Saccharomyces cerevisiae S288C: one gene and its partners. Changing the gene in region 1 together with any one later gene gives a genetic interaction. Each region holds a gene or a part of one and is shown in the gene's direction. Other genes may lie near its edges. The genes, in order: TOR1, VAC8, TCO89 and LST4.

What was found.
Region 2: mutations in TOR1 (region 1) and VAC8 together harm fitness more than expected from each alone (negative genetic interaction), as found in Saccharomyces cerevisiae (6 studies listed by BioGRID, with this or other methods).
Region 3: mutations in TOR1 (region 1) and TCO89 together harm fitness more than expected from each alone (negative genetic interaction), as found in Saccharomyces cerevisiae (4 studies listed by BioGRID, with this or other methods).
Region 4: mutations in TOR1 (region 1) and LST4 together harm fitness more than expected from each alone (negative genetic interaction), as found in Saccharomyces cerevisiae (4 studies listed by BioGRID, with this or other methods).

What each region holds. Positions count from the first base shown.
Region 1 is NC_001142.9:555,877-566,942, forward strand, and holds TOR1 (phosphatidylinositol kinase-related protein kinase TOR1), read left to right. Parts: upstream 1-3,539; coding exon 3,540-10,952; downstream 10,953-11,066. Other genes in the region: chaperonin-containing T-complex subunit CCT5, read left to right, coding at 38-1,726; ARP3 (actin-related protein 3), read right to left, coding at 1,933-3,282.
Region 2 is NC_001137.3:127,022-132,667, forward strand, and holds VAC8 (protein anchor VAC8), read left to right. Parts: upstream 1-1,803; coding exon 1,804-3,540; downstream 3,541-5,646. Other genes in the region: EDC3 (Edc3p), read left to right, coding at 1-1,263; YEL014C (uncharacterized protein), read right to left, coding at 1,282-1,587; E2 ubiquitin-conjugating protein UBC8, read left to right, coding at 4,751-4,755, 4,879-5,530. UniProt on the Saccharomyces cerevisiae protein: Functions in both vacuole inheritance and protein targeting from the cytoplasm to vacuole (cvt). Involved in the formation of nucleus-vacuole junctions (NVJs) during piecemeal microautophagy of the nucleus (PMN).
Region 3 is NC_001148.4:202,235-210,062, forward strand, and holds TCO89 (Tco89p), read left to right. Parts: upstream 1-3,013; coding exon 3,014-5,413; downstream 5,414-7,828. Other genes in the region: tRNA (34-2'-O)-methyltransferase regulator RTT10, read right to left, coding at 1-302; CTI6 (Cti6p), read left to right, coding at 1,187-2,707; PPQ1 (protein-serine/threonine phosphatase), read left to right, coding at 5,923-7,572. UniProt on the Saccharomyces cerevisiae protein: Component of TORC1, which regulates multiple cellular processes to control cell growth in response to environmental signals. Nutrient limitation and environmental stress signals cause inactivation of TORC1.
Region 4 is NC_001143.9:113,474-121,789, reverse strand, and holds LST4 (Lst4p), read left to right. Parts: upstream 1-3,803; coding exon 3,804-6,290; downstream 6,291-8,316. Other genes in the region: TPO5 (Tpo5p), read left to right, coding at 1-1,410; Zn(2+) transporter ZRT3, read right to left, coding at 1,486-2,997; STE3 (Ste3p), read left to right, coding at 7,163-8,316. UniProt on the Saccharomyces cerevisiae protein: Involved in extracellular amino acid uptake. Required for the trafficking of the GAP1 nitrogen-regulated general amino acid permease from the Golgi to the plasma membrane.

The sequences.
Region 1 (11,066 bases):
TAACAGCTATCATCCATTTTTATAGCAATATTTGAAAATGGCTGCTCGTCCACAACAACCTCCTATGGAAATGCCGGATCTGTCGAACGCCATTGTGGCACAAGACGAGATGGGTAGACCCTTTATTATCGTGAAGGATCAAGGTAACAAGAAGAGACAGCACGGATTAGAGGCCAAGAAATCACATATATTGGCTGCTAGATCAGTAGCTTCTATTATCAAAACTTCGTTGGGTCCCCGTGGGTTAGATAAGATCTTGATTTCACCTGACGGTGAAATCACCATCACTAACGATGGTGCTACAATTTTGTCCCAAATGGAGCTAGATAATGAGATTGCAAAGTTGTTAGTACAACTTTCCAAATCTCAAGATGATGAAATTGGTGATGGTACTACTGGTGTTGTTGTTCTGGCAAGTGCGCTACTTGACCAAGCATTGGAGTTAATTCAAAAGGGTATACATCCAATCAAAATCGCTAATGGATTTGATGAAGCCGCCAAATTAGCCATTTCCAAGTTAGAAGAAACATGTGACGACATTTCTGCGTCAAACGATGAATTGTTCAGGGACTTTTTATTGAGGGCCGCCAAAACTTCTTTGGGCTCCAAAATTGTTTCCAAGGATCATGATAGATTTGCTGAAATGGCTGTGGAAGCCGTCATAAATGTCATGGACAAAGATCGTAAAGACGTGGATTTCGATTTAATCAAAATGCAAGGACGGGTTGGCGGATCTATAAGCGATTCAAAATTGATTAATGGTGTCATTTTGGATAAAGATTTTTCTCATCCACAAATGCCTAAATGTGTTTTACCAAAAGAGGGCTCTGATGGTGTTAAGTTAGCTATATTAACGTGTCCATTTGAACCTCCTAAACCAAAGACCAAGCATAAATTAGACATTTCTTCAGTAGAAGAATACCAAAAATTACAGACTTATGAACAAGATAAGTTCAAAGAAATGATAGACGATGTGAAGAAAGCGGGCGCAGATGTTGTTATATGCCAATGGGGGTTTGACGATGAGGCCAATCATCTACTTCTACAGAATGATTTACCTGCCGTAAGATGGGTAGGTGGCCAAGAACTAGAACACATTGCCATTTCCACAAACGGTCGCATTGTTCCAAGATTTCAAGACTTGTCTAAGGATAAATTAGGTACATGTTCCAGAATTTACGAGCAGGAGTTTGGTACTACTAAGGATCGTATGCTGATTATCGAGCAAAGTAAAGAAACAAAAACTGTAACATGTTTTGTTCGCGGTTCCAATAAAATGATCGTGGATGAAGCTGAACGTGCATTGCATGACTCACTATGTGTGGTACGTAACTTGGTTAAAGACTCACGTGTAGTTTACGGTGGGGGAGCAGCCGAAGTGACTATGTCCCTGGCTGTCTCTGAGGAAGCTGATAAGCAACGTGGTATTGATCAGTATGCATTCCGTGGATTCGCCCAAGCGTTAGACACCATTCCAATGACTTTGGCTGAAAATTCTGGTCTTGATCCAATCGGAACTTTGTCTACATTGAAAAGTAAACAACTGAAAGAAAAGATTTCCAACATTGGTGTCGATTGCTTAGGTTACGGGTCTAATGACATGAAGGAACTATTTGTCGTTGATCCATTTATTGGCAAAAAGCAGCAAATTCTTTTAGCTACTCAATTATGTAGAATGATTTTAAAGATTGATAACGTCATCATTAGTGGTAAAGATGAGTATTGATTTTGTATAAATAAATAATAAAAGATAAGTTTTAATCACATATCCCACAATTTTTTTTCTCAGATCAGCATTTGGGGTTACTTGATTGTACATATACGTGTATATAATCAGTTGTATACGTATATTTAAATGAAGTGAGGGGCGTTTCAGTTATTTGCATTTGTTTTTGTACCTTTTTCCTTATAAGATGAGTCATGACTCAATAATCAAACCATGTTGAAAAGGCTGAAATTTCTAACAATTTCCGGACCATATTCCTCATAATCTTTCTTAGTGTGACAGTAGCCTTTGAATTCGGCTGTTTGTGCCAGCAGCGAGCCACCAAACCAGACAGCGTTTCTCTGCTTCCGATGAGAAATCACGGAAACATCTACACCAGTCGATTTAGTTCCACTTAACAGCTCACTTTGTGCGATTCTGTTATTTACGATAGACTTTAGATCTCTTTGTAAACGACGTCCAAAATCTTTGAACATGGTAGACCCACCTGATAGTACAATATTGTTGTATAAACCTTTACGGACGTCAATAGGGCAAGCCTGGATAGTTTGATCCACTACCGTGGGTAAAGGAGTCAAGAAGTCTGAGGATGCAATTTCTGGATTGAAGAAGATTTCAGGTGCTAAGAATCTTTCGTAACCAATATCTACGACTTTTCTCCTTGTCTTTTCTTGGTTTTCCACCACAAATTGGGCAAATTTAGAAGGATCTTTATCGAATTTGTTAAACTCCTTTACAATATCTGGACAGACGTAACAGTATTCTTGCTTAATCTTTTCGGCAGTTCTCAAGGAAGTGTCTGCTTCACCACGTTCTCTTAGCAAGGATTGGATGAACAATGTGATGTCTCTACCGGCTATTGGAATGTTTTTAATTGCTGAGCCAATGACGTAACCTTCCGCCACTGGGATGACGTGGGTGACACCATCACCAGAATCTATAACAGTACCAGTTAATGATCTATCCGTGACTTTTGAAGAGGTCCATGACGCAGCCAGAGCCAAAACTGCTTGCACAGCAATATATAGACCAGCACAATTAAATGATTCAAAAAAAATCTCCGCCACTTGCTCTCTGTTTTCTGGAGGATTCAGTGGTGGTTCGGTCAATAGGAAAAAATGATCTTCAGGCTCTGTTCTTAAATACTTGAAGATGGAATTTTCCCAGAATCTTTCCATGTGATCCCAATTTTCCACTTGACCGTGTCTGATTGGATAGCTCAAAGAGTAAGAGGGTCCTTGGGATGCTACTAAAGCCTCATTTCCAATATAGAAATCCAAATCTTCTGTACCTCTTTTACCGGATAAATTATTAGACAGCAAACCACCTGTTGCACCATTGAAATTGGTTGCAGAGGTGGAATTTCCAAAGTATGATGCTTCATTACTAACTGCTGAGGGCGCACCAACGCCCGAGGACTTCTTTGTATTTGAAGGTGCAGCTGTGGCTATTGCAGTAGGGAAGACCCAGGAGGGAGAATCATTACCGGCGAAACCGAGCTTGGTCAGCCCGGTACCATTGTCCATGACAACAGCGGGATTGTTTAAGTATGACATTGAATCCTAATTTCTTGCTCAATCGTGAGGCCTTACGGTAGGGCCAATTCTTGATTAAACTACTCTCATATATTTTTGTTTGAAACTTTTGAAAAGGGGTTCTCGCCATTTTGAAGCCGCGGACAGCCGGGTGACTACTGAAAGTCCTTATCGAAGGGTCTTCTTGAGCTTACGTTAAAAAAGAGCCATAGTAGCTTCACGAGAGAGTCATTGGTAAAGTGAAACATACATCAACCGGCTAGCAGGTTTGCATTGATATGGAACCGCATGAGGAGCAGATTTGGAAGAGTAAACTTTTGAAAGCGGCTAACAACGATATGGACATGGATAGAAATGTGCCGTTGGCACCGAATCTGAATGTGAATATGAACATGAAAATGAATGCGAGCAGGAACGGGGATGAATTCGGTCTGACTTCTAGTAGGTTTGATGGAGTGGTGATTGGCAGTAATGGGGATGTAAATTTTAAGCCCATTTTGGAGAAAATTTTCCGCGAATTAACCAGTGATTACAAGGAGGAACGAAAATTGGCCAGTATTTCATTATTTGATCTACTAGTATCCTTGGAACATGAATTGTCGATAGAAGAGTTCCAAGCAGTTTCAAATGACATAAACAATAAGATTTTGGAGCTGGTCCATACAAAAAAAACGAGCACTAGGGTAGGGGCTGTTCTATCCATAGACACTTTGATTTCATTCTACGCATATACTGAAAGGTTGCCTAACGAAACTTCACGACTGGCTGGTTACCTTCGAGGGCTAATACCTTCTAATGATGTAGAGGTCATGAGACTCGCTGCAAAGACTCTGGGCAAGTTAGCCGTTCCAGGAGGTACATATACCTCTGATTTCGTGGAATTTGAGATAAAGTCTTGCTTAGAATGGCTTACTGCCTCCACGGAAAAGAATTCATTCTCGAGTTCGAAGCCAGACCATGCTAAACATGCTGCGCTTCTGATTATAACAGCGTTGGCAGAGAATTGTCCTTATTTACTCTACCAATACTTGAATTCCATACTAGATAACATTTGGAGAGCACTAAGAGACCCACATTTGGTGATCAGAATTGATGCGTCCATTACATTGGCCAAATGTCTTTCCACCCTACGAAATAGGGATCCTCAGTTAACTAGCCAGTGGGTGCAGAGATTGGCTACAAGTTGTGAATACGGATTTCAAGTAAACACATTAGAATGCATCCATGCAAGTTTGTTGGTTTATAAGGAAATCTTGTTTTTGAAGGATCCCTTTTTGAATCAAGTGTTCGACCAAATGTGTCTAAATTGCATAGCTTATGAAAATCATAAAGCGAAAATGATTAGAGAAAAGATTTACCAGATTGTTCCCCTATTAGCATCGTTCAATCCTCAATTATTTGCTGGCAAATATTTGCACCAAATTATGGACAACTATTTAGAGATTTTAACCAATGCTCCAGCAAATAAAATACCACATCTCAAAGATGACAAACCACAGATTTTAATATCGATTGGTGATATTGCATATGAAGTCGGGCCCGATATCGCACCTTATGTGAAACAAATTCTTGATTATATTGAACATGATTTACAGACGAAATTCAAATTCAGAAAGAAATTTGAAAATGAAATTTTCTACTGCATCGGAAGATTGGCAGTTCCCTTGGGCCCCGTTCTAGGTAAATTATTAAACAGAAATATACTGGACCTGATGTTCAAATGCCCTCTTTCCGACTATATGCAGGAAACGTTTCAAATTCTGACTGAGAGAATACCATCACTAGGCCCCAAAATAAATGACGAGTTGCTTAACCTAGTCTGTTCAACCTTATCTGGAACACCATTTATCCAGCCAGGGTCACCAATGGAGATACCATCGTTTTCGAGAGAAAGAGCAAGAGAATGGAGAAATAAAAACATCCTACAGAAAACTGGTGAAAGTAACGATGATAATAATGATATAAAAATCATTATACAAGCTTTTAGAATGTTAAAAAATATCAAAAGCAGATTTTCGTTGGTGGAATTCGTGAGAATTGTTGCACTTTCTTACATTGAGCATACAGATCCCAGAGTAAGGAAACTAGCTGCGTTGACATCTTGTGAAATTTACGTCAAGGATAACATCTGCAAACAAACATCACTACACTCTCTGAACACTGTATCTGAAGTGTTATCAAAGCTTCTAGCCATTACGATTGCGGACCCTTTACAAGATATCCGTTTAGAAGTTTTAAAGAATCTTAATCCATGTTTCGATCCCCAGTTGGCACAACCAGATAATTTGAGACTCTTGTTTACTGCACTGCACGATGAGTCGTTCAATATTCAGTCAGTAGCAATGGAGCTTGTCGGTAGGTTGTCTTCCGTAAACCCTGCATACGTCATCCCATCGATAAGAAAAATACTACTGGAACTGCTAACAAAATTAAAATTCTCAACTTCTTCTCGAGAAAAGGAAGAAACTGCCAGTTTGTTATGTACTCTTATCAGGTCGAGTAAAGATGTTGCGAAACCTTATATCGAACCTCTTTTAAATGTTCTTTTACCAAAATTCCAAGATACCTCTTCAACGGTTGCATCAACTGCACTGAGAACTATAGGTGAGCTATCTGTTGTAGGGGGCGAAGATATGAAGATATATCTTAAGGATTTGTTTCCTTTAATTATCAAAACATTTCAGGATCAATCAAACTCTTTCAAGAGAGAAGCTGCACTTAAGGCCCTTGGTCAACTTGCAGCCTCATCTGGTTACGTGATAGATCCTTTACTCGACTATCCCGAATTATTGGGTATATTGGTGAATATATTGAAGACAGAAAACTCTCAAAATATTAGGAGACAAACAGTCACTTTGATAGGTATACTGGGAGCTATCGACCCATATCGCCAAAAAGAACGTGAGGTTACCTCTACTACCGATATATCTACAGAACAGAACGCCCCGCCTATCGACATTGCTCTTCTCATGCAGGGCATGTCTCCTTCGAATGATGAGTATTATACCACTGTTGTCATTCACTGCCTGCTAAAAATCCTAAAAGATCCATCCCTATCATCTTACCACACTGCCGTGATCCAAGCGATTATGCATATTTTTCAAACCCTTGGTCTAAAATGTGTTTCATTCTTGGACCAGATCATCCCAACTATTTTGGACGTAATGCGTACATGCTCTCAGTCACTATTAGAATTTTACTTCCAACAGCTTTGCTCTTTGATTATTATCGTAAGGCAACACATAAGACCTCATGTCGATTCTATATTCCAGGCTATCAAAGATTTTTCTTCGGTTGCTAAGCTACAAATAACGCTTGTAAGTGTTATTGAAGCAATATCAAAGGCTCTGGAGGGTGAATTCAAAAGATTGGTCCCTCTTACTCTGACCTTGTTCCTTGTAATTTTGGAGAATGACAAGTCTAGTGACAAGGTCCTCTCCAGAAGGGTATTGAGACTGTTAGAATCGTTTGGTCCTAACTTAGAAGGTTATTCGCATTTGATTACACCCAAGATAGTTCAAATGGCAGAATTCACCAGCGGGAACCTACAAAGGTCTGCAATAATTACTATTGGCAAACTGGCCAAGGATGTTGACCTTTTTGAGATGTCCTCAAGAATTGTTCACTCTTTACTTAGGGTACTAAGTTCAACAACGAGTGACGAACTCTCAAAAGTCATTATGAATACTTTAAGTCTACTGCTAATACAAATGGGCACATCCTTTGCTATCTTCATCCCTGTCATTAATGAAGTTTTAATGAAGAAACATATTCAACACACAATATATGATGACTTGACAAACAGAATATTAAACAATGATGTTTTACCCACAAAAATTCTTGAAGCAAATACAACGGATTATAAGCCCGCGGAACAAATGGAGGCAGCAGATGCTGGGGTCGCAAAATTACCTATAAACCAATCAGTTTTGAAAAGTGCATGGAATTCTAGCCAACAAAGAACTAAAGAAGATTGGCAGGAATGGAGCAAACGTCTATCCATTCAATTATTAAAAGAGTCACCCTCCCATGCTCTAAGAGCTTGTTCAAATCTTGCAAGCATGTATTATCCACTAGCCAAAGAACTTTTTAATACCGCATTCGCATGTGTTTGGACCGAACTTTATAGCCAATATCAAGAAGATTTAATTGGGTCATTATGTATAGCCTTATCTTCTCCCTTAAATCCACCAGAAATACATCAAACATTGTTAAACCTGGTAGAATTTATGGAACACGATGACAAGGCATTACCAATACCAACTCAAAGCCTGGGCGAGTATGCTGAAAGATGTCACGCCTATGCCAAAGCGCTACATTATAAAGAGATTAAATTTATTAAAGAGCCTGAGAACTCAACTATTGAATCATTGATCAGCATTAACAACCAGCTGAATCAAACGGATGCTGCAATTGGTATATTAAAGCATGCCCAACAACATCATTCACTTCAATTAAAGGAGACATGGTTTGAAAAATTAGAGCGTTGGGAAGATGCACTACATGCTTATAATGAACGTGAAAAGGCAGGTGATACTTCCGTGAGCGTTACACTCGGTAAGATGAGATCCCTTCATGCCCTTGGCGAATGGGAACAGTTGTCGCAATTGGCAGCTAGAAAGTGGAAAGTTTCGAAGCTACAAACTAAGAAGCTAATAGCTCCCTTGGCAGCTGGTGCTGCGTGGGGGTTGGGAGAGTGGGATATGCTTGAGCAATATATCAGCGTTATGAAACCTAAATCTCCAGATAAGGAATTTTTTGATGCAATTTTATACTTGCACAAGAATGATTACGACAATGCTAGTAAGCATATATTAAACGCCAGAGATTTGCTTGTGACTGAAATTTCCGCGTTGATCAATGAAAGTTATAATAGAGCATATAGCGTTATTGTTAGAACTCAAATAATAACAGAGTTTGAGGAAATCATCAAGTATAAACAATTGCCACCTAATTCCGAGAAAAAACTTCACTATCAAAATCTTTGGACAAAAAGACTGCTGGGCTGCCAAAAAAATGTCGATTTATGGCAAAGAGTGCTTAGAGTAAGATCATTGGTAATAAAGCCCAAGCAAGACCTGCAAATATGGATAAAATTTGCAAATTTGTGCAGAAAATCTGGTAGAATGAGGCTAGCAAATAAGGCATTGAATATGCTACTAGAAGGAGGCAACGATCCTAGTTTACCAAATACGTTCAAAGCTCCTCCCCCAGTTGTTTACGCGCAACTAAAATATATTTGGGCTACAGGAGCTTATAAAGAAGCATTAAACCACTTGATAGGATTTACATCCAGGTTAGCGCATGATCTTGGTTTGGATCCGAATAATATGATCGCGCAAAGTGTCAAACTCTCAAGTGCAAGTACTGCTCCGTATGTTGAGGAATACACAAAATTATTAGCTCGATGTTTTTTAAAGCAAGGTGAGTGGAGAATAGCAACACAACCGAACTGGAGAAACACAAATCCGGATGCAATTCTTGGTTCTTATCTATTGGCTACACATTTCGATAAAAATTGGTACAAGGCATGGCATAATTGGGCCTTAGCTAATTTTGAAGTAATATCCATGGTTCAGGAAGAGACTAAGCTCAACGGAGGTAAGAATGATGATGATGATGACACGGCAGTTAATAATGATAATGTGCGGATTGACGGTAGTATCCTAGGAAGTGGTTCTTTGACTATTAATGGCAACAGATACCCGCTAGAGCTTATTCAAAGACATGTTGTTCCAGCGATCAAGGGCTTTTTTCATTCAATATCTCTATTAGAAACAAGTTGTTTGCAAGACACGTTGAGGTTATTGACTCTTTTATTTAACTTTGGTGGTATTAAAGAAGTCTCACAAGCCATGTATGAAGGCTTCAATTTGATGAAAATAGAGAACTGGCTTGAAGTCTTACCACAGTTGATCTCTCGTATACATCAGCCAGATCCTACGGTGAGTAATTCCCTTTTGTCGTTGCTTTCTGATTTAGGGAAAGCTCATCCACAAGCTCTCGTGTATCCTTTAACTGTCGCGATCAAGTCTGAATCTGTTTCAAGACAAAAAGCGGCTCTTTCAATAATAGAGAAAATTAGGATTCATAGTCCAGTCCTGGTAAACCAGGCAGAATTAGTTAGTCACGAGTTGATCAGAGTAGCCGTTCTATGGCACGAATTATGGTATGAAGGACTGGAAGATGCGAGCCGCCAATTTTTCGTTGAACATAACATAGAAAAAATGTTTTCTACTTTAGAACCTTTACATAAACACTTAGGCAATGAGCCTCAAACGTTAAGTGAGGTATCGTTTCAGAAATCATTTGGTAGAGATTTGAACGATGCCTACGAATGGTTGAATAACTACAAAAAGTCAAAAGACATCAATAATTTGAACCAAGCTTGGGATATTTATTATAACGTCTTCAGAAAAATAACACGTCAAATACCACAGTTACAAACCTTAGACTTACAGCATGTTTCTCCCCAGCTTCTGGCTACTCATGATCTCGAATTGGCTGTTCCTGGGACATATTTCCCAGGAAAACCTACCATTAGAATAGCGAAGTTTGAGCCATTATTTTCTGTGATCTCTTCGAAGCAAAGGCCAAGAAAATTCTCCATCAAGGGTAGCGACGGTAAAGATTATAAATACGTTTTAAAGGGACATGAAGATATAAGACAAGATAGCCTTGTTATGCAATTATTTGGTCTAGTTAACACTTTGTTGAAGAATGATTCAGAGTGTTTCAAGAGACATTTGGATATCCAACAATACCCGGCTATTCCATTGTCGCCTAAATCTGGTTTACTAGGATGGGTACCAAATAGTGACACATTCCACGTTTTGATCAGAGAACACCGTGATGCCAAAAAAATTCCGTTGAACATTGAACATTGGGTTATGTTACAAATGGCCCCCGATTATGAGAATTTGACTCTTTTACAAAAAATTGAAGTATTCACGTACGCTTTAGATAATACAAAAGGCCAAGACCTTTATAAAATATTATGGTTAAAGAGTAGGTCGTCAGAGACATGGCTAGAACGTAGAACAACTTATACGAGATCTTTAGCAGTTATGTCCATGACTGGTTATATTCTGGGACTAGGTGATCGCCATCCAAGCAACCTGATGCTAGATAGAATCACCGGTAAAGTTATCCACATTGATTTCGGCGATTGTTTTGAAGCTGCCATCTTAAGAGAAAAGTATCCAGAAAAAGTGCCATTTAGACTAACTAGGATGTTAACATACGCAATGGAAGTTAGTGGAATTGAAGGCAGTTTCCGAATTACTTGTGAAAATGTCATGAGAGTCTTAAGAGATAATAAAGAATCATTAATGGCGATCTTGGAAGCTTTTGCGCTTGATCCTTTGATCCATTGGGGATTTGATTTACCGCCACAAAAACTTACTGAGCAAACTGGAATTCCTTTGCCGTTGATTAATCCTAGTGAATTATTAAGGAAGGGGGCAATTACTGTCGAAGAAGCGGCAAATATGGAAGCAGAACAACAAAATGAGACCAAAAACGCCAGAGCAATGCTTGTTTTGAGACGTATTACAGATAAATTAACGGGCAATGATATCAAGAGGTTCAATGAATTAGACGTCCCTGAGCAGGTTGATAAACTGATCCAACAAGCCACTTCTATTGAAAGGTTATGTCAACATTATATTGGATGGTGCCCATTCTGGTGACTGCGGTGTCATTTTTCATTTCGTGCTTTGTTTACTATTTATTTTTTTTGTATTACGCATTTGTATACGTGTGCAAGTATTGTGTATTATTATTATTATTATCATTATTTTTGT
Region 2 (5,646 bases), on another chromosome or scaffold:
GAGAATAGATTACAGGGACATAACAGAAAGCAAACCCAATTGCAGCAAAATAATTATCAAAATGATGAATTGGTTATTCCAGATGCAAAGAAAGATTCATGGAACAAGATTTCTTCAAGAAATGAGCAAAGCACACACCAATCTCAGCCGCAACAAGATGCTCAAGATGATCTGGTTTTGGAAGATGATGAACATGAATACGATGTCGATGATATCGATGATCCCAAATACCTACCAATAACTCAGTCTTTGAATATTACACATTTAATTCACTCTGCAACTAACTCTCCATCCATAAATGATAAAACGAAAGGTACAGTTATAAATGATAAGGATCAGGTACTAGCTAAATTAGGCCAGATGATCATCAGCCAGTCAAGATCCAACTCAACATCCTTGCCAGCTGCAAATAAACAAACAACCATCAGATCAAAGAACACTAAGCAGAACATTCCTATGGCTACACCAGTACAACTACTAGAAATGGAGAGCATCACGTCCGAATTTTTCAGTATTAACTCGGCAGGGCTACTAGAAAATTTTGCTGTAAACGCATCGTTCTTCTTAAAGCAGAAACTAGGTGGCCGTGCACGTTTACGTTTACAAAATTCTAATCCGGAACCTTTAGTAGTAATACTAGCCTCAGATTCCAACAGATCTGGTGCGAAAGCTCTGGCGTTGGGTAGACATCTTTGCCAAACGGGGCATATCCGTGTCATAACATTATTTACATGTTCTCAAAATGAACTACAGGATTCCATGGTCAAAAAGCAAACAGATATTTACAAGAAGTGTGGCGGAAAAATTGTTAATAGTGTATCGTCGCTGGAATCTGCTATGGAAACATTAAATAGCCCTGTAGAAATAGTCATCGATGCCATGCAGGGATATGACTGTACATTGAGCGATCTGGCGGGGACGTCGGAAGTTATTGAAAGCAGAATTAAAAGCATGATATCATGGTGTAACAAACAGCGAGGATCTACTAAAGTGTGGTCTTTGGATATTCCAAATGGGTTTGATGCGGGATCCGGCATGCCAGATATTTTCTTTTCAGACAGGATTGAAGCAACAGGAATTATTTGTTCTGGCTGGCCTTTGATTGCCATCAACAACTTAATTGCAAATTTGCCAAGTCTAGAAGATGCTGTTTTGATTGATATAGGTATACCACAGGGCGCCTATTCACAGAGAACTTCTTTGCGTAAGTTCCAAAACTGTGATCTTTTCGTCACTGACGGGTCCCTGCTATTAGATTTGTAAACCAAGAATTACTTTAGCCTAAACTGGATACATACGTATAAGCATACGGTAAGGAAGTGGGATCTGTAGCGGTAATGCAATAATGTGTTGGCTCTCACAAATATGAAAACTGCGAACATCTATATAATAAGGTAACGGTATAACAGAAAAATCTGAATAATTTCTCTTTCCCGGGTAATGAGCCCTTAAGGAGGACTCAAAACGAAAAGGAAAAAAATACGAGTGGAAAGAAAAAATGAACCCTTTCCAGTAATTGATAATAATACAATCATTCATTATTAGAAATATATTAGTTCTCAATTCAAGGCAGAATAGTGCTGTCATTGTGATCAAATTTTTGTGTGAGTCTGCTTTGCTTTCTGTTTTTTTTTGTTGACTCGCTGTTCAATCTCCTACTTTTCCTTTTGTTGTTAAAATAAGGTATTATATATTTATACAACCCTATAAAAAGCAATTAGCCAATTTCCAATCCTACGAAGACAGGAACTGAGCAAACTATAAGGGTGTTCTTTCTTCTGTACTATATATACATTTGCAACTATGGGTTCATGTTGTAGTTGCTTGAAAGATTCTTCAGACGAGGCCAGTGTCTCACCAATTGCCGATAATGAAAGAGAAGCGGTGACTTTATTACTAGGGTATTTGGAGGATAAAGACCAATTAGACTTTTACTCTGGTGGTCCACTAAAGGCCCTAACTACTTTGGTGTATTCAGATAATCTAAATTTGCAAAGGAGCGCCGCTCTGGCATTCGCAGAAATTACTGAAAAATACGTCCGTCAGGTCTCTAGAGAGGTACTGGAACCCATCTTAATATTATTACAAAGCCAAGATCCACAGATTCAAGTGGCCGCTTGTGCAGCCTTGGGTAATTTGGCCGTTAATAATGAAAATAAATTATTAATTGTGGAAATGGGAGGCTTAGAGCCATTAATAAACCAAATGATGGGTGACAATGTAGAAGTTCAATGTAATGCTGTTGGATGCATTACCAATTTAGCCACAAGGGATGACAATAAACATAAGATTGCTACTTCTGGTGCTTTAATTCCATTGACTAAGCTAGCTAAATCCAAACATATAAGAGTTCAGAGAAATGCTACAGGTGCATTATTAAATATGACACATTCTGAGGAAAATAGAAAAGAATTGGTTAATGCAGGTGCTGTGCCTGTATTGGTATCTTTACTGTCGTCCACCGATCCTGATGTTCAGTACTATTGTACTACTGCTTTATCAAATATAGCAGTGGATGAAGCCAATCGCAAGAAGTTGGCTCAAACTGAGCCAAGATTGGTTTCCAAATTGGTTAGTCTGATGGATTCTCCATCTTCAAGGGTAAAATGTCAAGCTACTTTGGCTTTACGAAACCTAGCGTCCGATACAAGCTACCAATTAGAAATTGTAAGGGCTGGTGGGTTGCCTCATTTGGTAAAGTTGATTCAAAGTGATTCTATACCACTGGTTTTGGCTAGTGTGGCATGCATTAGAAACATTTCTATTCACCCTCTAAATGAAGGTTTAATTGTTGATGCAGGTTTCTTAAAACCATTAGTAAGATTGTTGGACTATAAGGATTCAGAAGAAATTCAATGTCACGCCGTATCTACTTTGAGAAATTTGGCTGCATCATCTGAAAAAAACAGAAAAGAGTTCTTCGAAAGTGGTGCTGTCGAAAAATGTAAGGAACTGGCTCTAGATTCACCTGTTAGTGTTCAAAGTGAAATTTCCGCATGTTTTGCTATTTTAGCCCTAGCAGATGTCTCCAAATTGGATCTACTGGAAGCAAATATCTTAGATGCTTTAATCCCTATGACTTTTTCCCAGAACCAAGAAGTTTCTGGTAATGCTGCTGCTGCTTTGGCAAATCTATGTTCAAGAGTGAATAATTATACAAAAATTATTGAAGCATGGGATCGTCCGAATGAAGGCATTCGTGGATTTCTGATTAGATTTTTGAAAAGTGACTATGCTACCTTTGAACACATTGCGCTATGGACAATTTTACAATTGCTAGAAAGTCATAATGATAAAGTGGAAGATTTGGTTAAAAATGATGACGACATCATTAACGGAGTGAGAAAAATGGCAGATGTGACCTTTGAGCGTTTACAAAGATCAGGAATTGATGTTAAAAATCCGGGGAGCAACAACAATCCAAGCTCGAATGATAACAACAGTAATAACAATGACACAGGATCTGAACATCAACCTGTAGAGGATGCAAGTTTGGAATTGTATAATATTACTCAACAGATTTTACAATTTTTACATTGATTTTCTTCAAAAGCGGGACTAGGCATTATAATTTTTATCAAAATTTTCTTCTCAGAAGTTTTATTTTCTTTCTCTCCATTTCTTCCATCTTTTTAATCTTTGTTTCCTTTTTTTACATCATATTACTTCTACCTACTCTACTCTATTCTAATTTCAATTGATTTTTTTTATTTTATTTTTTTTTTTGTTAATAAAAGAAGAAAAAACTTAAAAACGAATAAGAGGCTGTCTTTGTTCCGTAGTATATGCCTATTTCCTTCTAGAAGTTTGAAGTGTCGTAAATTTTACCTACGGATAATGTTCGTTACATTGTTGAATGGCAACTGTAGTGAGGTAATGTTCAAAAAGTGAGAAAGCGGGAGAGAAGGGCTACATACAAAAACCAATTCTAGATAACATCTATATCTTCGTTTTTAGAATATATTGTAATAAAACACAATTGATAATACAGTTCTCTCTTCGTCCTCTGATGGTGGGAGATCTATTAAAAATACAAGTTAGCTGAGCGGGGGAAAAAAATAGGTCTTACCCGGATTCGAACCGGGGTTGTTCGGATCAAAACCGAAAGTGATAACCACTACACTATAAAACCTCTTAATTATTGATTTCCACAATAATTTTATCATATATCAACACTATTCTTCACATAGTTTTTTTAATCCCGGTGTCTCTCATCTGCTAATGAAAATACGTTCACTCATATTTCATGCACCTTCCAGTAGACTGACCCTTCATAAGGTTAAGAATATCATGGGGAAATTATCGCAATGCATGTCTCTTAAAGAATACAAGAATATATAAAGGCGAATCAACGATTCTTCACGATAATTTGTTTTCCTCTTAATCACACAGCAGTCTGAATTCTATCAGTGGCACATTAATCCTTGTTTCAATGCTCGTGTGCACATCTGCGTAAATATACATTCTTACGTTTTCTTATTTAATAATAGTAGGTTGAGCTTCGTCCACCGGGTAATGCTCCCGGAGCAGTGGAATTAAAAAAAAAAAGGGTGAGCACCGGAAACAGCTATCTGCGCTTAAGTATCACTAACGTAAAGCATAGGTAGGATTTCCAGTTCTGCCACATTTGATAAATAGTGTAATCCGTAATTATCAAGCGAGATAGTTTTCGAATATAATTTAGAAGTAAGAGCAAAATATTAATAGTATTTCATAAGGAATATTGGAAGAAAGGAGCGTAATACGAAAGATGAGGTATGTTTGATAAGATATATACGTATATTTATATATCACTCTTCTGAGAAAGTATGCCATAGAATGAGGATCACTAACAAAGAAAATGTCAATGAACTTCAAAGATATCGTTTAATGAAACAGTAGCTCTAAAAGAAGGATCGAGACAGATGTTATGAAACTGTTGATGAGTGATCATCAAGTGGATTTAATCAATGATAGCATGCAAGAGTTTCATGTAAAGTTCTTGGGACCAAAGGATACACCCTACGAAAATGGGGTTTGGAGGTTACATGTAGAGTTGCCGGATAATTACCCATACAAGTCGCCAAGCATAGGGTTCGTTAACAAGATATTCCATCCTAACATTGATATCGCATCGGGGTCCATATGTTTGGACGTAATTAACTCTACATGGTCGCCTTTATATGATCTGATAAATATAGTGGAGTGGATGATACCAGGTTTATTAAAGGAGCCTAATGGTAGCGATCCCTTGAATAACGAAGCTGCCACATTGCAATTACGAGATAAAAAACTGTATGAGGAAAAAATCAAAGAGTATATAGACAAGTATGCTACAAAGGAAAAGTACCAACAAATGTTTGGCGGAGATAATGATAGCGATGACAGTGATAGCGGCGGTGATTTACAAGAAGAGGACAGTGATTCTGATGAAGATATGGATGGCACTGGTGTTTCCAGTGGCGATGATAGCGTAGATGAGTTAAGCGAGGATCTAAGTGACATAGATGTCAGTGATGACGATGACTACGACGAAGTCGCAAATCAATAATTTCGAGCACACACATATATATATATATATATATATGTATGTATGTATAAGTATATATGATGGCATACTATACCACACGTACGACTATAATTACAAACAACTATCAAGCAACTACA
Region 3 (7,828 bases), on another chromosome or scaffold:
AAGCTGAATGTAGCACCGGTAATCCAATCTGAGTTAATCCTTTCGAAATCCACCAATGACTCTTTCTTTAAAACGTCTTCAAGTTCCACTATTGTTACTGATCTTGCACCATAGGCCAAAATTTTCCCTTCACTAGAAAGGCTAAGTCCATGAACTTTATTGTAGTGAAATAGCCTACATTTGTTAATCAACGTAGCCGAATGATAGTCATAGACATGGATGAAAGGCCCATAACCAGCTAGAACATAATCATTGTAAAATTTAACACATAGCGCAGGACCATAATGAGACAAGTCCTTCATTTTAATCACTTATTCTTCTTCAATGAGCAACTTCAATTGGCGGGAATGAGAAGCTAAATAACGATGAGGTCCGCTAGCAGAAGTTTTTTCATGCTCATATTTTTCCACTTTTTTTTTCTTACATTTTTTTTTTCAGCAGCGTCGTTTTTTGTGAGACGCCGATGTGTATGCTAGGCTTAAATCTATCATTCAGACCCCAGTGTAAAACATAAGCGGTGAAAAGTACGTAGGGTAGTATACAACTCACCAAAGCACGACTACGTGAAAATGACCCTGAGAGTATCATCAATGTTATCGGCTGTATAAATAATACACCAGAACAAATTCCTCTTAAAGATGTAGGCAAGACCAGACTCAGTTTCTCTGAGCAGTACCTTCAATTTTCAATTTTTGATAGATGTTCGTCACTAATATTTTTTTATTGAGTTAAGTTCACCCACTTCTGGCACTTCTTATAACCTTGATAATTAAAAAGACCTCGGCGGTTATTTTTTATTTTGAGCAGTTATAAAGGGCATTACCCTCATCATCTTGCGGAAATAGGACGGAGCACGTCGCAGACAGGCTTTAACGTAATCAATTAGTTTTGAAAAATTTCTCCGCTATGGGTAAACTAGGTAAACCGCACAGCACAATCAGCTGCATTTTCTATTTTCAATTTTCTATTGGTGGCTTTTCACTGCATGATCAAAAAATAACGTTTTGTTGATTAGTTTTTTCTTTTTTGTTCTTGTTGGTTTTCGTATATGAATTTTATGTAACTGGGTATTTACAGGGGTACAAAGTTCACAACAGAGACCATCAATAGTTTGTTTCCTTCGAAGTTTACTTTGCGTAACCTTACTAAAAGATAGCATAAACATATAGGAGTATAGAGAAGAGTAATGGAATCGACAGCAATAGTGCCTAAAGGCCCTGTTGTGGGTAGTGAAGATATGGAGAAAGCGGAAGTCATTGCTAGTGGGTCCACAGACATTATATCAACAACATCAACAGCGACAACAACGGCGGCGATTGGAAGTGTACAGGAAGAAAGTGTAAAACAAGAAGATGTTCCTATGGAAGGTGGAGAGGGGGAAGTCGAGGAAGAGGAAGGCGAAACTCGCTGTATCTGTGGAGAGCTCGATACTCCAGATGACTCCGGATTTTTCATTCAATGTGAGCAGTGCAGTTCCTGGCAGCACGGTTATTGTGTGAGTATTACTCAAGACAACGCACCTGATAAATATTGGTGCGAGCAATGCAGACCGGAGTTACATCAGCTCTTTACCACAGATACTGGCGAAGCAAGGTCAATCTATAAACCTGTGCAAGAGAAAAGGAGGCAATCAAGAAGGAAGGCACGAAGTGCAGCTGCAAGTAAATCTCATGCCGCCAATGAAGCAGAGAAAAGTCCCAGAAATACCAGCAATACCGATGATAACGTCGACGATATCGGCGACGAAGAAGATGAAGTAGAAGATGAAGCTTCGGCTGTAGCATTAGCCAAGGACGGCAACACGAGGTCAAGTAGAAGGAGGAGGAGGAATTCAATGGATGATGCTTCTACCGATCAGTATTCACTGGATCCTGGAGATAGTGATAAGAAGCTACTGGATAGAAAAAGGGCAACTTTCATGGCAAGAGAAGAAAAGCAATATCAAAGAATGCTTGAAAAAGCCTTGAAAGAAAGCAGGAGGACATCACATCAAGAAGATCCTGAAAGTTATGAAAATGATGCTGATATATACCAAGGTGATACCGACAATCACAACGGCACCACTCGATTACAAACGGATGTTATGCTAACGGAAGGCAAACCGGACTCGGTAACAAATGATGATATGAAAGAAAGCCTACGACCATCGAAAGAGCAATCAATGGAAAAAACAAATGATGTGGAAAAAGAAGCTAGTCAAGAAAAGGAATCTTCTACGGGTTCGGCGCAAGACACTGAGAAAACTGATGAACCCATCCTACCCCTAACCTCAATATCTTCTTCTGAGGATGATTCAAGGAAAGCTAGTTCGAGGGGTTCTAAAAGAGTTTCCAAACCAGCAAGAAAGGGCAACAGAACTCGTCGAAGCAATACAAGTTCAGACACCAACCAAAATAGAAGGAGTGCTGATATAGGTACCGACAAACCAGTAAAGCCCAGATTACCCCCTCAAAGGACCTCATTAAACGAAATGAGAAGAAGGGTATCCGCTATTTTGGAGTTCATTTCTAGAACTCAATGGGAATTGAGTGAAGATCAGTCTGATCGAGAGGAATTTGTACGATTCGTGGAAAACCAGCATTTCGTAGAAAAAGTTGATACGATTTACAACGGTTATAATGAAAGTCTATCAATGATGGACGACCTGACTAGAGAGTTACTACTATGGGAGAAAAAATATTCAAATAACACTAATGCCATTCAATAAACGCAAAACACTGCAATATTATTCTCAACCAAAGTATAACTGTAATGAGGCGAACAAACACATCTATACATATATATACATCTATATGGATATAAAAACGACTAATTCAACGTTGTTTTTATCAACCGAGCTTACTCTTGTACGGGTAACCGCAAGGATAGCTAGTTGCGGATGGTATAGCGATTTGGCTGGCACGATGATTAAGGAATCCAAACATCTAATGGACTAGCACATTCTATCGATTTACGGGTCAGGTAAACATAGATATTGGGATATATCATATATCCTTACTGAGTAACTATAATTATGGTTCATCGAGGAAGGACTTTGAAGTCAGACACTGATGTAACATCTCTTAATGCGTCAACAGTATCACACCAGTCAAAGCCATTTAGACAGTTTTCGACTAGGTCGAGAGCAAAGAGTAACGCAAGCTTCAAAGGTTTGCGTAGAGTTTTAACACATGATGGCACCCTGGATAATGATTATTTTAATAAGCACAACGTTTCTCAGAAATGCAAGAGTTCTGATGCACTTTTCAGAAAGCGAACGATTAGTGGGTTGAATATGACAGCTTTAACAAGAGTAAAGTCCAATCAAGGAAAAAGATCAGCATCCTTTCATAGTCCGGTGCATAATACGCTGCTCAGTCCAAAGAACAGCAGTCATTCTAATACTGGAACTGCTGGTTTCGGCCTGAAACCACGAAGAAGTAAAAGTACCCAATCTGTTCTGAGTCTTCGAGATGCGCAAGAATCTAAAAAGAGTGAATCTACTACTGACGAGGAGGTGGAATGTTTTTCGGAAGACAACATTGAAGATGGAAAGGTGAATAATGATAAAGTAATAGCCGAGCATGTTATGCCTGAAGAAAAAAAGAATGTGCAGCAATTAAATCAGAATGAATTACAATCCCCGGATTCAATAGATGAACAAGAAGAAGATAAATCAGGTACTGATGGAAAGGAAAATCATAGAGCTGTATCCTTACCATTACCTCATTTATCTTCCAATAACTATTTCGGAGAATCAAGCCATTCTATAGAACATCAGAAAGATGGAGAAACATCTCCAAGCTCAATTGAAACAAAACTGAATGCAACAAGTGTAATCAATGAAGAGGGGCAATCAAAGGTGACGAAGGAAGCTGATATTGATGACTTGTCCAGCCATTCTCAAAATTTGAGGGCCTCATTGGTTAAAGCGGGCGATAATATATCAGAAGCACCATATGATAAAGAAAAAAAAATTCTTGATGTTGGTAATACCTTAGCTGCACATAAAAGTAATCAAAAACCAAGTCATTCAGATGAACAGTTTGATCAGGAAGATCACATTGATGCCCCTAGGAGTAATTCATCAAGAAAAAGCGACTCGAGCTTTATGTCTCTTAGGAGACAAAGTTCTAAACAACACAAATTATTAAACGAAGAAGAAGATCTAATCAAGCCTGATGATATTTCTTCCGCTGGTACCAAGGATATTGAAGGGCATAGCTTACTGGAAAATTATGCGCCTAATATGATTCTCTCCCAGTCGACTGGAGTTGAACGTAGATTTGAAAATTCATCATCCATCCAAAATTCGCTTGGGAATGAAATTCATGACTCGGGTGAGCATATGGCTTCAGGTGATACTTTTAATGAACTGGATGATGGCAAATTGCGCAAGAGCAAGAAAAATGGTGGAAGATCTCAACTTGGCCAAAATATACCGAACTCTCAGTCTACTTTCCCCACCATTGCTAACATCGGTAGTAAAGATAATAATGTACCACAGCACAACTTTTCGACCTCCATATCGAGTTTAACCAATAATTTGAGGAGAGCTGCTCCTGAAAGCTTCCATGGTTCAAGAATGAATAATATTTTTCACAAGAAAGGTAATCAGAATCTACTTCTGAGATCCAACGATCTCAACAAAAATTCTGCAGCCCCGGCCTCTCCATTGTCCAACGAACATATTACATCTAGTACGAACTCCGGTAGCGATGCAAACAGACAATCCAACTCAGGTGCCAAATTTAATAGCTTCGCCCAGTTCCTTAAATCAGATGGGATTGATGCAGAATCAAGAACACAAAGAAAATTATGGTTGCAGAGGGAGAATTCTATTATGGACTTAAGTTCACAAAATGACGGTAGTGACTCTATCTTTATGGCAGGAAACATTGATGCGAAAAGGGAGTTTGAGAGAATATCCCATGAATACTCTAATGTAAAAAGATTTTACAACCCATTAGATGAAGCATTGTTGAGAGTACAACCTATAATAACGGGAAATGCAAATAATATCAGGAAAAAAAGCCATAACGATGCTCAGTCAATCGCACATTCTAGCAGTGATACAGATCATAAGGATGAGGACGATTTGCTCTTTACTAACTATGACAAAAAATTTGATGATCTTTATCCACATCTTGCAAGTGCAAAGATTCAGGCAGTGTTGTCCGGTATATGGAAAAGCGAAAGTTACTTATTTAACAAGGATGTTAATCCAATCAACAAGAATAGGACAACGAGTACAAACCACAGCGTTGGCCACACTGCTTCACAGAATGCACGTAACTTGCTGAGGGGCCCGATGGGTTCCAGCACGACTTTGCACCACCAACGCGTCATTAACTCTCTGCAGCCGACTACGAGGGCAGTGAATCGCAGGATGGAAAATGTGGGCTACATGCATACACAGCCACAACAAAGGTGAAAACAACCAACACGAAGCACACAGTTTAAAAGAGTAGCTAATGCTTTCGAGGTAAAACGCGAAGTTCGTAGAGAGCGAATATGTTTGGACACTTAAGGAACATACTATGTTTATGCACTATAAAAGGACATGTACTTCTATACGAGCTAACGAGGCGTATTTGTATAACCCGGTTAACGTAATAAATGATAAATTATCGAACAAAAAGAAAGAAAAACGTTGAATGCAACCACCGCAAATTTAGCGATTTCGCTGGATTCCGTATCTCTTAAAAAATGGCATTAGTAAATATACCTTAAACGTGTCTATTCTTTTAGCAATTTTTTGGTAAGTATTCCTCACGGACTATAAATACTATCGGTCAGAATCACTACATTCAAATTAATCTTGTTTTACCGAGTCTCTGACGTTTCATTTACAAGCTTGTCCTTACAAAAAACCTATTTTATTACTTTAGTCCATTTTCCTTTCAAGTTAGATATTGTTTTCCCTTCACTTATATTCTATTTATGAGAAGAAGCCCGTCCAGATCAAATAATAACTTTGCAGTACCGAATTGCTCAACTAATTCAAACTCTAGTCAGCAACAATTAACTACACCTTCAGATGATCTCAACAGTAACGAACCTAATGACCCAGATGATAGTAGGTCTCTACCTACTATCAAGAAATTCAATAATAAACATTCTATAAACAATTACAACACTTTAGCATCGGCCGGGAAAAACAACAACAATAAACGAGCTAGCAATGATAATTTGCTCATTCCTGGTGAGAATGCCCATAAACAGAAAATATACACTAAGGATGAAAACTTGAAGAGCTTGTACCTAGATATCGATGTTTCTGTCGCTAAAGCCCTATCCTCATCAGCAACTGCTCCGAAGCTGATCAATACCGCAAGAACTTCCTCTACTACCACTGCCACTACCTCAAATAATATCCTGACATCACCCTCTTATCGTGAATCAAATTATTCTTCTCCATCCTCATATTCTTTTTCCTCCTACTACTCATCCGCTACGTCTGCTTCCTCATCAACCTCATCATTTTTAAAATCTTCAGGGTTATCGTCCAGAGTTAAGTCTCCTTCATCTTCGGTTAAGGCAGGTTCTTTTGGTGCGCCTTCGTCCCCAACATCTGGGATACCTAATCCTAAAAGTAGCAAGAAGCCTATATTTTTGAGACGGTATTCTCATGATACCTCTTCAAATGAAGGTCTTGATATCGATGTTGCGATCGAAAAATTACTACAAGTGGGTGAGTCAAGAGAAATTACAAAAACGTCCAAAAAAAAGAACTTTCCATTCCATTCTTGGGAAATTCAACTCATTTGCTATCATGCAAGAGAAATTTTTTTGAATCAACCTACTCTTTTGAGATTACAAGCGCCTATCAAAGTTGTCGGTGATGTTCATGGACAATTTAATGATTTATTGAGAATTTTGAAGTTGTCTGGTGTGCCATCTGATACTAATTATCTGTTCTTGGGTGATTATGTGGACCGTGGTAAGAACTCATTGGAAACAATACTATTGTTATTATGTTACAAAATAAAGTACAAAGACAACTTTTTTATGTTAAGGGGTAATCACGAATCTGCTAATGTCACAAAGATGTACGGTTTCTATGATGAATGCAAAAGGCGATTGAGCTCGAAAGTATGGAAAATGTTCGTTGACGTATTTAATACTTTGCCATTAGCAGCAATTATTCAAGATAAGATCTTTTGCGTTCATGGAGGTATATCGCCCGATTTACATGACATGAAGCAAATCGAAAAAGTCGCAAGACCAACGGATATTCCTGAAAGCGGGCTGGTTACAGACTTACTGTGGAGTGACCCAGACCCTCAAGTAACTGATTGGTCAGAAAATGATCGTGGTGTTTCATACACATTTTCTAAGAGGAACGTTCTTGATTTTTGTGCTAAGTTTAAATTCGATTTAATACTTAGGGGACATATGGTCGTAGAAGATGGTTATGAATTCTTTGCCAGGAAAAAGTTTGTCACAATCTTTTCAGCACCAAATTATTGTGGAGAATTTCATAATTGGGGGGCAGTAATGAGCGTTACAACGGGTATGATGTGTAGCTTTGAACTGTTAAAGCCGCGTGCATTGAAAAATAAAAAGAAGTTATACAAAACCAAAGTGTAGCTGTTGCTAAGATTGGTTTTGCCTGGAAAGCACATTGGTTTTTAGGCCTCTTATCCTTCATTTGGAAACTTTTTGTCCTATGATTTGTTTTTTTCATTTTATTTTTCATTTTATTTTTCATTTTATTTTCATTTAGTTAACATTATTATGCAGTTATTTTTTTTTTTCCCACCTTCATGGCCTCGTTTATGTCTTTTATCAATATATTTTTTACGTTTATAAGTCATTTACTCGACTTTTTTTACCTTTGATATGC
Region 4 (8,316 bases), on another chromosome or scaffold:
ACTATGAGTACCAGTATTACTTTTGCAGGCGCTCAACTTACCATTTCTTTGATTCTGATGACGAACTCCAACCTAATATCCGAGGCACACTTGATTTTTTACACAGTCATTGTATTTTACTTAGTTGTGACTGTTGTAGGCCTCGTGAATTTGAAATTTGCAAGATTTATTGAAACAATAAACAAAGTCTGTGTTTATTGGATCATATATGCCATTATATTTATTGATATTCTTCTACTAGTATTCCACAAAGGTAAATTTCGATCTTTGAAGTACGCGCTATTTCACTTTGATAATAATCTATCAGGGTATAAAAGCGCATTTCTTTCCTTCATCATTGGATTCCAACAGTCTAATTTCACGTTACAAGGTTTCAGTATGTTACCTGCTTTAGCTGACGAAGTCAAAGTTCCTGAGAAGGATATTCCACGTGGTATGTCGAATGCGGTATTGTTATCCGCGTTCTCTGGAGTCATTTTTCTTATACCAATAATGTTAATCCTGCCAGATAATGATTTGCTTTTTACCAATCATAAGGTTCTACCAATAGTGAACATTTTTACAAAATCGACTGATTCGGTGGTCTTGTCTTTTTTTTTAGTGCTCCTAATTTTAGGAAACTTACTGTTTTCCGGAATTGGCTCGATTACTACATCTTCTCGTGCGGTATATAGTTTTAGTCGTGACCAGGCTATACCATACTACGATAAATGGACCTACGTCGAACCGGATTCTCAGTCAAAAGTCCCCAAGAATTCTGTTGTATTGAGTATGATAATATCATACTTTTTAGGTCTGCTAGCTTTGATTTCAACGGCCGCATTTAATGCTTTTATAGGCGCTGCAGTGCTCTGTCTTTGTTCTGCGACTTTCATTCCGTTAGTCTTGGTGCTGTTTACGAGAAGAAGAGCTATCCGAAGCGCGCCAGTAAAAATCAGGTATAAGTTTGGTTGGTTCATCAACATTGTTTCTATTGTGTGGCTCTTGTTATCTATGGTTTCTGTTTGCCTACCAACGCAAGTGCCTGTAACTTTCAAAACAATGAATTATGCTTTAATGGTGTACGTATTCTGCATTTTAGTTATCACTGGTCTTTATTTCAAATGGGGGAAGTATAATTTTAGATTACCCTTGGCAGATGACATCAAGGCTCCAATTCCCAGTGATGCGGAAGAAACTGTTTTTGAACTAGAGGATAGCAATGTTGAACATACTCTAAACTCGGGAACCACAGTGAAAGAGTCTGTAGAAAATAATTCTGAAGAAGGTTTCATCAAGGTGCATCCTAAAAGTAGTACAGAAAATCCCTTTGAGGAAAATGAGGAAAACGTGATAACCGATTATGGTGATGAGCACCATACAGCAGAACAAGAATTTGATCTTGCCGATGATCGTAGATATGATATATGATATATGATCGTGATTATACACCGTTATTTAATGGGAAAAGACTTATATAGAAAGAATATACGTAGTTTTAATTTATCAAGTGAAAAGGGCACTCGCTAGAATTAGCAAAACGCCAGTGCAGCACCATTTCAAGCAAGTTGTGCCTGAGCTATGGGACTGTTTCATTTCTTCATCACCTTCTCCTTGATGATGATGATGTCCATCGCTAAATCCGATACCAGTTTGGAACATTTGTAAACCAATTACTAATAGGAACCCTGCAGTAACGCTCAGTAAAAAATCCATGTTGGGTTCGTGATCCCTTGGAGTACTACCTTTAAAGATGAAATAACCTATCAATGCACCTAATGGTTGAGATCCACCACCGAGAACGGCAGTAATCAAAATGGCAACCCATTTAGATTCGAAAACAGTGTAGAATGGTAACGTCATTGCAAATCCTTCGACAAAATTATGGATCGTCAAACTTAAAAAAATGGAAAATCCCAAGGACTTTGACGAATCTGACCTGTTAGTGTAAAAAATAATAAACCCTTCGGGAAATTTGTGTAATGCAAGGACTAGACAAGTTTGCATACCAATAGACAGTAATTTGGAAAAAGGGGTCTCTAAGTGATGATGGTGGGGGTATAATGAACCATTTTCGGGATGGTATTGTGTGTCTGCCAATGCGGCCGGATTCTCAGTTACATCATTTCCCAAAGGTGACGAAAAAGAGTGCGACAACTGGTTGGAACCATAATTTTCGGGCGATTCAGAGGAATGATGATGGCGGCTCGAAAGAAAATTCTTACGGTACAACGATAGGTTTTCAAGATCGTAACCGATATTATTTTCCACGCATACAAGGCCACGATGATCCTTGTCATCGGATTGTCCATTATCTTCTGATCCCTCGCATCCATGTGGCACGTTTCTTTCACTTTGAGAAGACTTTATCACTGGTGGGACACATGCAATATATTCTGGCTGCTCTGATTGCAAGAGCGGAGTGCACTTGTTTAGGTCACAACACTCGCCTTCTGATTTCCTTCTGGTTAATAAGTCAATTAGGGACATTTTCTTTTTCATTTGGGGTCTATCGCTATCCTTTGTAATCAACGGGTCATTTTCAGAAACACTGGAAGAAGATGTTGCATAACCATGCTCAGAGGGAGCATTTTCTAAATCATGATCGTTGCTAAAATTCGAATGCGAATCCGCATGTGAGTGTGAGTGCGAATGCGAATGTGATTTGGAGTGTATATGTGAACCTGTAGCATGGTCACCGCTATCAGCACAGTGTACCAACGATTCGCTGGCGAAAGCGTGGACTAGGTAGTTTAAGAAAAAACTGAGGCAAATACCCAAAAGCAATCCAGGAAAAACCTTGAACCGGTTTGATTTTTCGATCCGAGGCAATAGCATGTATAGTGAAGTAGTGATCATAGATCCGGCACTTAGAGAAAGACCATAGTTGACCAACTTAGATTGGCTATTGCGCTTGCTATCGAAGGCAACCGATAACAACGGCACACACAGGGCCCCAAGTATGCACAGCACCGACGATATAAGAGAAAACAACAACCACCTGGGAATTTTTTCCATTTTCTTGCGTTTCTTCACTGTGATGCTTGTGAGAATATTAGGATATACCAACGTGCAACTCTGAAATGTCAAAACGGTCGTGTATAAATAAATGATATACCAGTAGGTGAAATCATCTCATTTGTCTTTCTAAAAAAGTCCATTACCCTTAAGGTTGTTGTCACAACCCACGGAGCAGTTTTAGAGGTGCAAAATTGAAAGAATGGCCACATTTTGAGCAATTCATCGACAACAAGAGCTTATGATTAACTTGGGTTGTGGGCAATTGGGTGTACTATGAAGCAGCCAATACCTGTTTTACAACAGTATTCTCAGTTTCAGCTTAGAGATGTGTCAAATCGAAGGCTAGTGTGGTGCACGGAGTTTATGGCACATTGGTAAGTAATCATTGCAACTTTTTTTTATTTGAGGAATATAGTAAGAGAGAAGCTTTAGTGATGGTCAAAGAAGAGAGGAATACAAGTGAGTTGTATCTAGGATTTTTTATTACGTGAGTGTTGTTTTACTTTAGTCGGTAGGAATCATTGTTATTTTTGTCTGTTTGTTTGTCTCTATTTTTGGGTACACGTGCGTGTTTCTTCTAGTGGATGGTTTGAACGAAGCAGGTTCTCAGGATTGATTGATTGATCTGCTTTAGTGTGTAACGTTCTGCGACTAGCTTTCGTTGCTACCGATATATAAAGAAAAAAAGGAGAGCGTGTGTTTGGAGCGTCTTAAACCCCATTGGTGAGAGCCTCCAGTACCATTTGCCTGTTAAAACTGTCTTGTGTGTGGCCTTGTAGAGAAGGTGAAGAGGGAGAGTTTATATGTTGGGTAATTTACTGAGAAATAAGACGAGTTCGTCTGGTTTTGAGAAGAGCTCAGAGCATTCCGATTTTTCCTCCGTAGTTCCCAATGTCCCTGTATACTGCAAAGCGGCAAGCACAGGAACTACTAAGACCGCTGCTGGAGCTCTTTTAGATACTGCAGTCAATGTGGAAAAGCCTTCGGAAATGCTATCAACGACTTCTCCGCCCATTTTAGATCATATATCGGATGACTTAAAACTGAAGCTTTTCGGCTCGAGGGATATTCCTTATAGTCGTCCTATCGATACGTTACAAAACAACGGAGGTCTTGGTACTGATAAAATCACGTCTATTAACGAAAAAACGTATGCATTCAGGATTTTGATCATTGAGGAAGCGGGTCAAATGGCGTGTAGGAACAACTACCGTGATATCTTCGATTACACTACGTCAAAGATTTCAAATTCGATGGAGCAGATACGGCCGAGTGAATTGAAGGAATATATATTTGGTTCTCCCGTAAGATCTTCCGATTTGACGCAGTGCGACAAGATAAGGACGATTCCTAACTCGGATTTGGTACTCATAACTAGAATTTTCTATTACACACACCAATACAACCGCATCGCAATTAGCTTATGCATACCGAGGATATTGTTGCCCGTAGTTGCAGAGTCGTGGTCTTCCATTTCATCATGGTTGACCCAGACTCAAAAAATGCTCATTGGTTTCTTGACTAAAAACCGTATTATGCAAGAAAATACTGGCAATTACAGCAATAATTCAGTCATAAAATTGTCAAATATTGACATCAGGACGCATTATCCCAAGGAAATTGAAATAATGGTGCAAACTTTACAAAAAAGAGTCATACCAGGTTTACGTTCTATGTCTGAGATTCCTAGGCTTTTCCTTTACCCTGAGACATTTAAAGAATTCGTTCACGTTTGGTTCAAAAGTATATTTAATTGGATTGAAATCAAAGATGGACCGAAACTAGGCTTCCTTCCTCTCCTAATGGCAATGATTATATCTGATTACAGGCACACTATAAGAGAACTAAAGACATCCAAGATCGTAATCCTGTCAGGAAACATGGTGGTTGCTAACAAGTTACTGTTCATCTTATCGGCTTTATTGGAGCCAAAGTACAAGGGACAAATAACGATACGGCGGGAAAACATAAGATCGGATTCGTCCGCTGTATCAAGAAATAAGTCTAACAATAATTTTGTCGATAAGCCTGAGACGGAATTGAGCACACTGACTTCAACAGACAACCTTTTGAGTCGCACAGAAAATAATAGCAATCATAATTACAACAACAGTAATGTGAGCTCTAACAGCATTGGATCACCCAATTTCCATTCTTTGAGGAAAGGATGGCAAATACCCAATCGGAGGAACTCGAACACTTCAGTATCTGTGTCTTCTAGTGAGTCTTTAGCGGAAGTTATTCAGCCATCTTCCTTCAAAAGTGGGAGTAGTTCATTGCATTATCTATCGTCTTCTATCTCAAGCCAACCTGGTTCGTACGGTTCTTGGTTCAACAAAAGGCCAACAATTTCTCAGTTCTTTCAACCAAGCCCTTCTTTAAAACACAACGAGTCGTGGGAGAGGCTGCAAACAACTGCTGGAAATATGCAAAGGACTTCAAGTTCGTCTTCTTTGCAGCAAGCAACCTCCAGGTTATCACTAACCACTCCGCAACAATCACCGTCTATCAGCGAATATGATGAGTATCCTTGGATGGGCACACCTGGCTCTCCTAATGTTGGAGATGTGTCTCACGCACCCCCATTGGTTAAGAATATATCATATAAATTTCCACTAAAGAACGTTGAGTTGAAAAGAGATTGCCAAAGGATCTCTCAGGATGATCTTTTGGATGAGGCTTTTGAAAGAATATGTCAGCCCTCTTTGGCTGACCTTAATTCCACTTACGAAATTTTTCCAGGTAACTCTTCTTATGCGGATATTTTGACTACTGATTCTGATATTGATGATGGCTTGATGAATAAACCTCTGGAACTATTGCCGAAATATACAATGTATTTAACCCATTTTAACAATTTTTTCCAGTTGCAAGCATGTCCTGCTGGTCAAGAATCAGAGAGCAGAATAACAAATTCTATGAAGATTGACCTGTTAAAGGCGGATTACACAAGAAGTCTATTAGTATCGTTACGTTCAAGGGACATTAGGGATGTCGCATTGAAAAGAGAGTTTACTGGCAATAACAACAATAACAGCAACCAGAATATCTATGATGAGAATTTTGTCGGAAAAAGGAAGTACGTGTTGAAACAGAAGACCAGAAAAATCTTTTCCTGTGGCAAGATTGGCAAGCTAAGTACTAGTTTGGAAAACTGCGTTAATTTTGTTGAAAATAGTATAAAGAGTGCAATGATGTTATATGATGATAATGGAATAGATAGTGAGCTTCGCGATTCAGAAGCTTTACGGATTTTTTCATCTCTTGTTCATTATTGTAATGCAGGTTAATGTTTTCTCCTTCTTTACATGTTTAATATATTCCAAGTTACCTAAGAGGTGTACGATATTTTTTTCTTTTATATATATGATTTTCTCTATTCATTTTTTAGTTTTTTTTGATACATAAGCGAATCGCACATTGCGCAACTTCAATTTGTTGATTCGCCAAAGTATTCTTACCATAAAACAACCATTCGTTGCTTTACCCTTTCGTAATCATTTACCGTGATAACCATAATCAGAAACTTATTATTTCAGCCTAGTAGACCGGCCAAGCAGGCCTTGTAATGTTTCTCTTGATTGCTTGAATCTTTTAAGCAGCCAAATCTTTCCAAAAAAATGCAATTATCAGAACAAAACTATTTAAGGTGACTTCTCCGTATTTACACCACCAGAAGCGTTCTGGCTCCCCTTTTCTCTAAACGTTAAACATTTTACAATTGAAATGTTACCAATCCTATATTATTGTACCACATTGCCAGATTTATGAACTCTGGGTATGGGTGCTAATTTTCGTTAGAAGCGCTGGTACAATTTTCTCTGTCATTGTGACACTAATTAGGAAACTTCTCGACTATCAATGTGTAAATGAAGGAATAATGGCGGAAACTTTGAAACTTTGTCAATAATTGCATCATTGGATGCGTTTCATTTGGCCGTTATCACGGAGAGGCAGAGTTCTCTCCACAATTTGGGCAGAAGTCTTTTGAAAAGACATATATATATATATATATGTATATGAGTGGATGCTTAAGGTAAGAATAATTTCTGAATTCCCAAGTATTCATTTTGTGCAGTATTCACATATTCTATTTTATTGCTTTTTAACTTTAGAGGCAATTAAATTTGTGTAGGAAAGGCAAAATACTATCAAAATTTTCATGTCATACAAGTCAGCAATAATAGGGCTTTGTTTGCTAGCTGTGATACTATTAGCTCCCCCTTTAGCATGGCATTCACATACCAAGAATATTCCAGCAATCATTTTGATAACATGGCTTCTTACAATGAATTTAACGTGTATTGTAGATGCGGCAATATGGAGTGACGACGATTTCCTCACGAGATGGGATGGTAAAGGTTGGTGTGATATTGTCATCAAGTTGCAGGTTGGTGCGAATATTGGCATATCATGTGCCGTTACCAACATCATTTACAACTTGCATACAATTTTGAAGGCAGATAGTGTTTTACCGGATCTTTCATCATGGACGAAAATCGTCAAGGACCTTGTGATTAGCTTGTTCACACCTGTCATGGTCATGGGATTTTCATATCTGTTACAAGTATTTAGATATGGTATCGCTCGTTACAACGGTTGCCAAAACTTATTGTCTCCGACATGGATTACCACTGTTTTGTATACCATGTGGATGCTTATATGGTCATTTGTGGGCGCTGTTTATGCCACCTTAGTACTGTTCGTGTTTTATAAAAAACGCAAGGACGTTAGGGATATTTTACACTGTACCAATTCAGGTTTAAACCTGACAAGGTTCGCAAGGCTGTTGATATTCTGTTTCATTATTATTTTAGTCATGTTCCCTTTTTCTGTTTACACCTTTGTTCAAGATTTACAGCAGGTAGAAGGACACTATACTTTTAAAAATACCCATTCCAGCACCATCTGGAATACCATTATTAAATTTGACCCTGGCAGACCAATTTATAATATATGGCTTTATGTTTTGATGTCTTACCTAGTATTTCTAATCTTTGGCTTAGGTTCTGATGCTTTGCATATGTACTCTAAATTCCTGCGTTCCATCAAACTAGGATTTGTACTTGACATGTGGAAAAGATTCATTGATAAGAATAAGGAAAAACGAGTAGGCATATTGCTAAACAAGCTGTCCTCACGCAAAGAGAGCCGTAACCCATTTTCTACAGACTCTGAGAACTATATCTCCACGTGTACAGAAAACTATTCTCCCTGTGTAGGTACACCAATATCACAAGCGCATTTCTATGTCGACTATAGGATTCCAGATGATCCTAGAAAATCTCAAAATAAAAGCAAAAAATATTTGTTTGC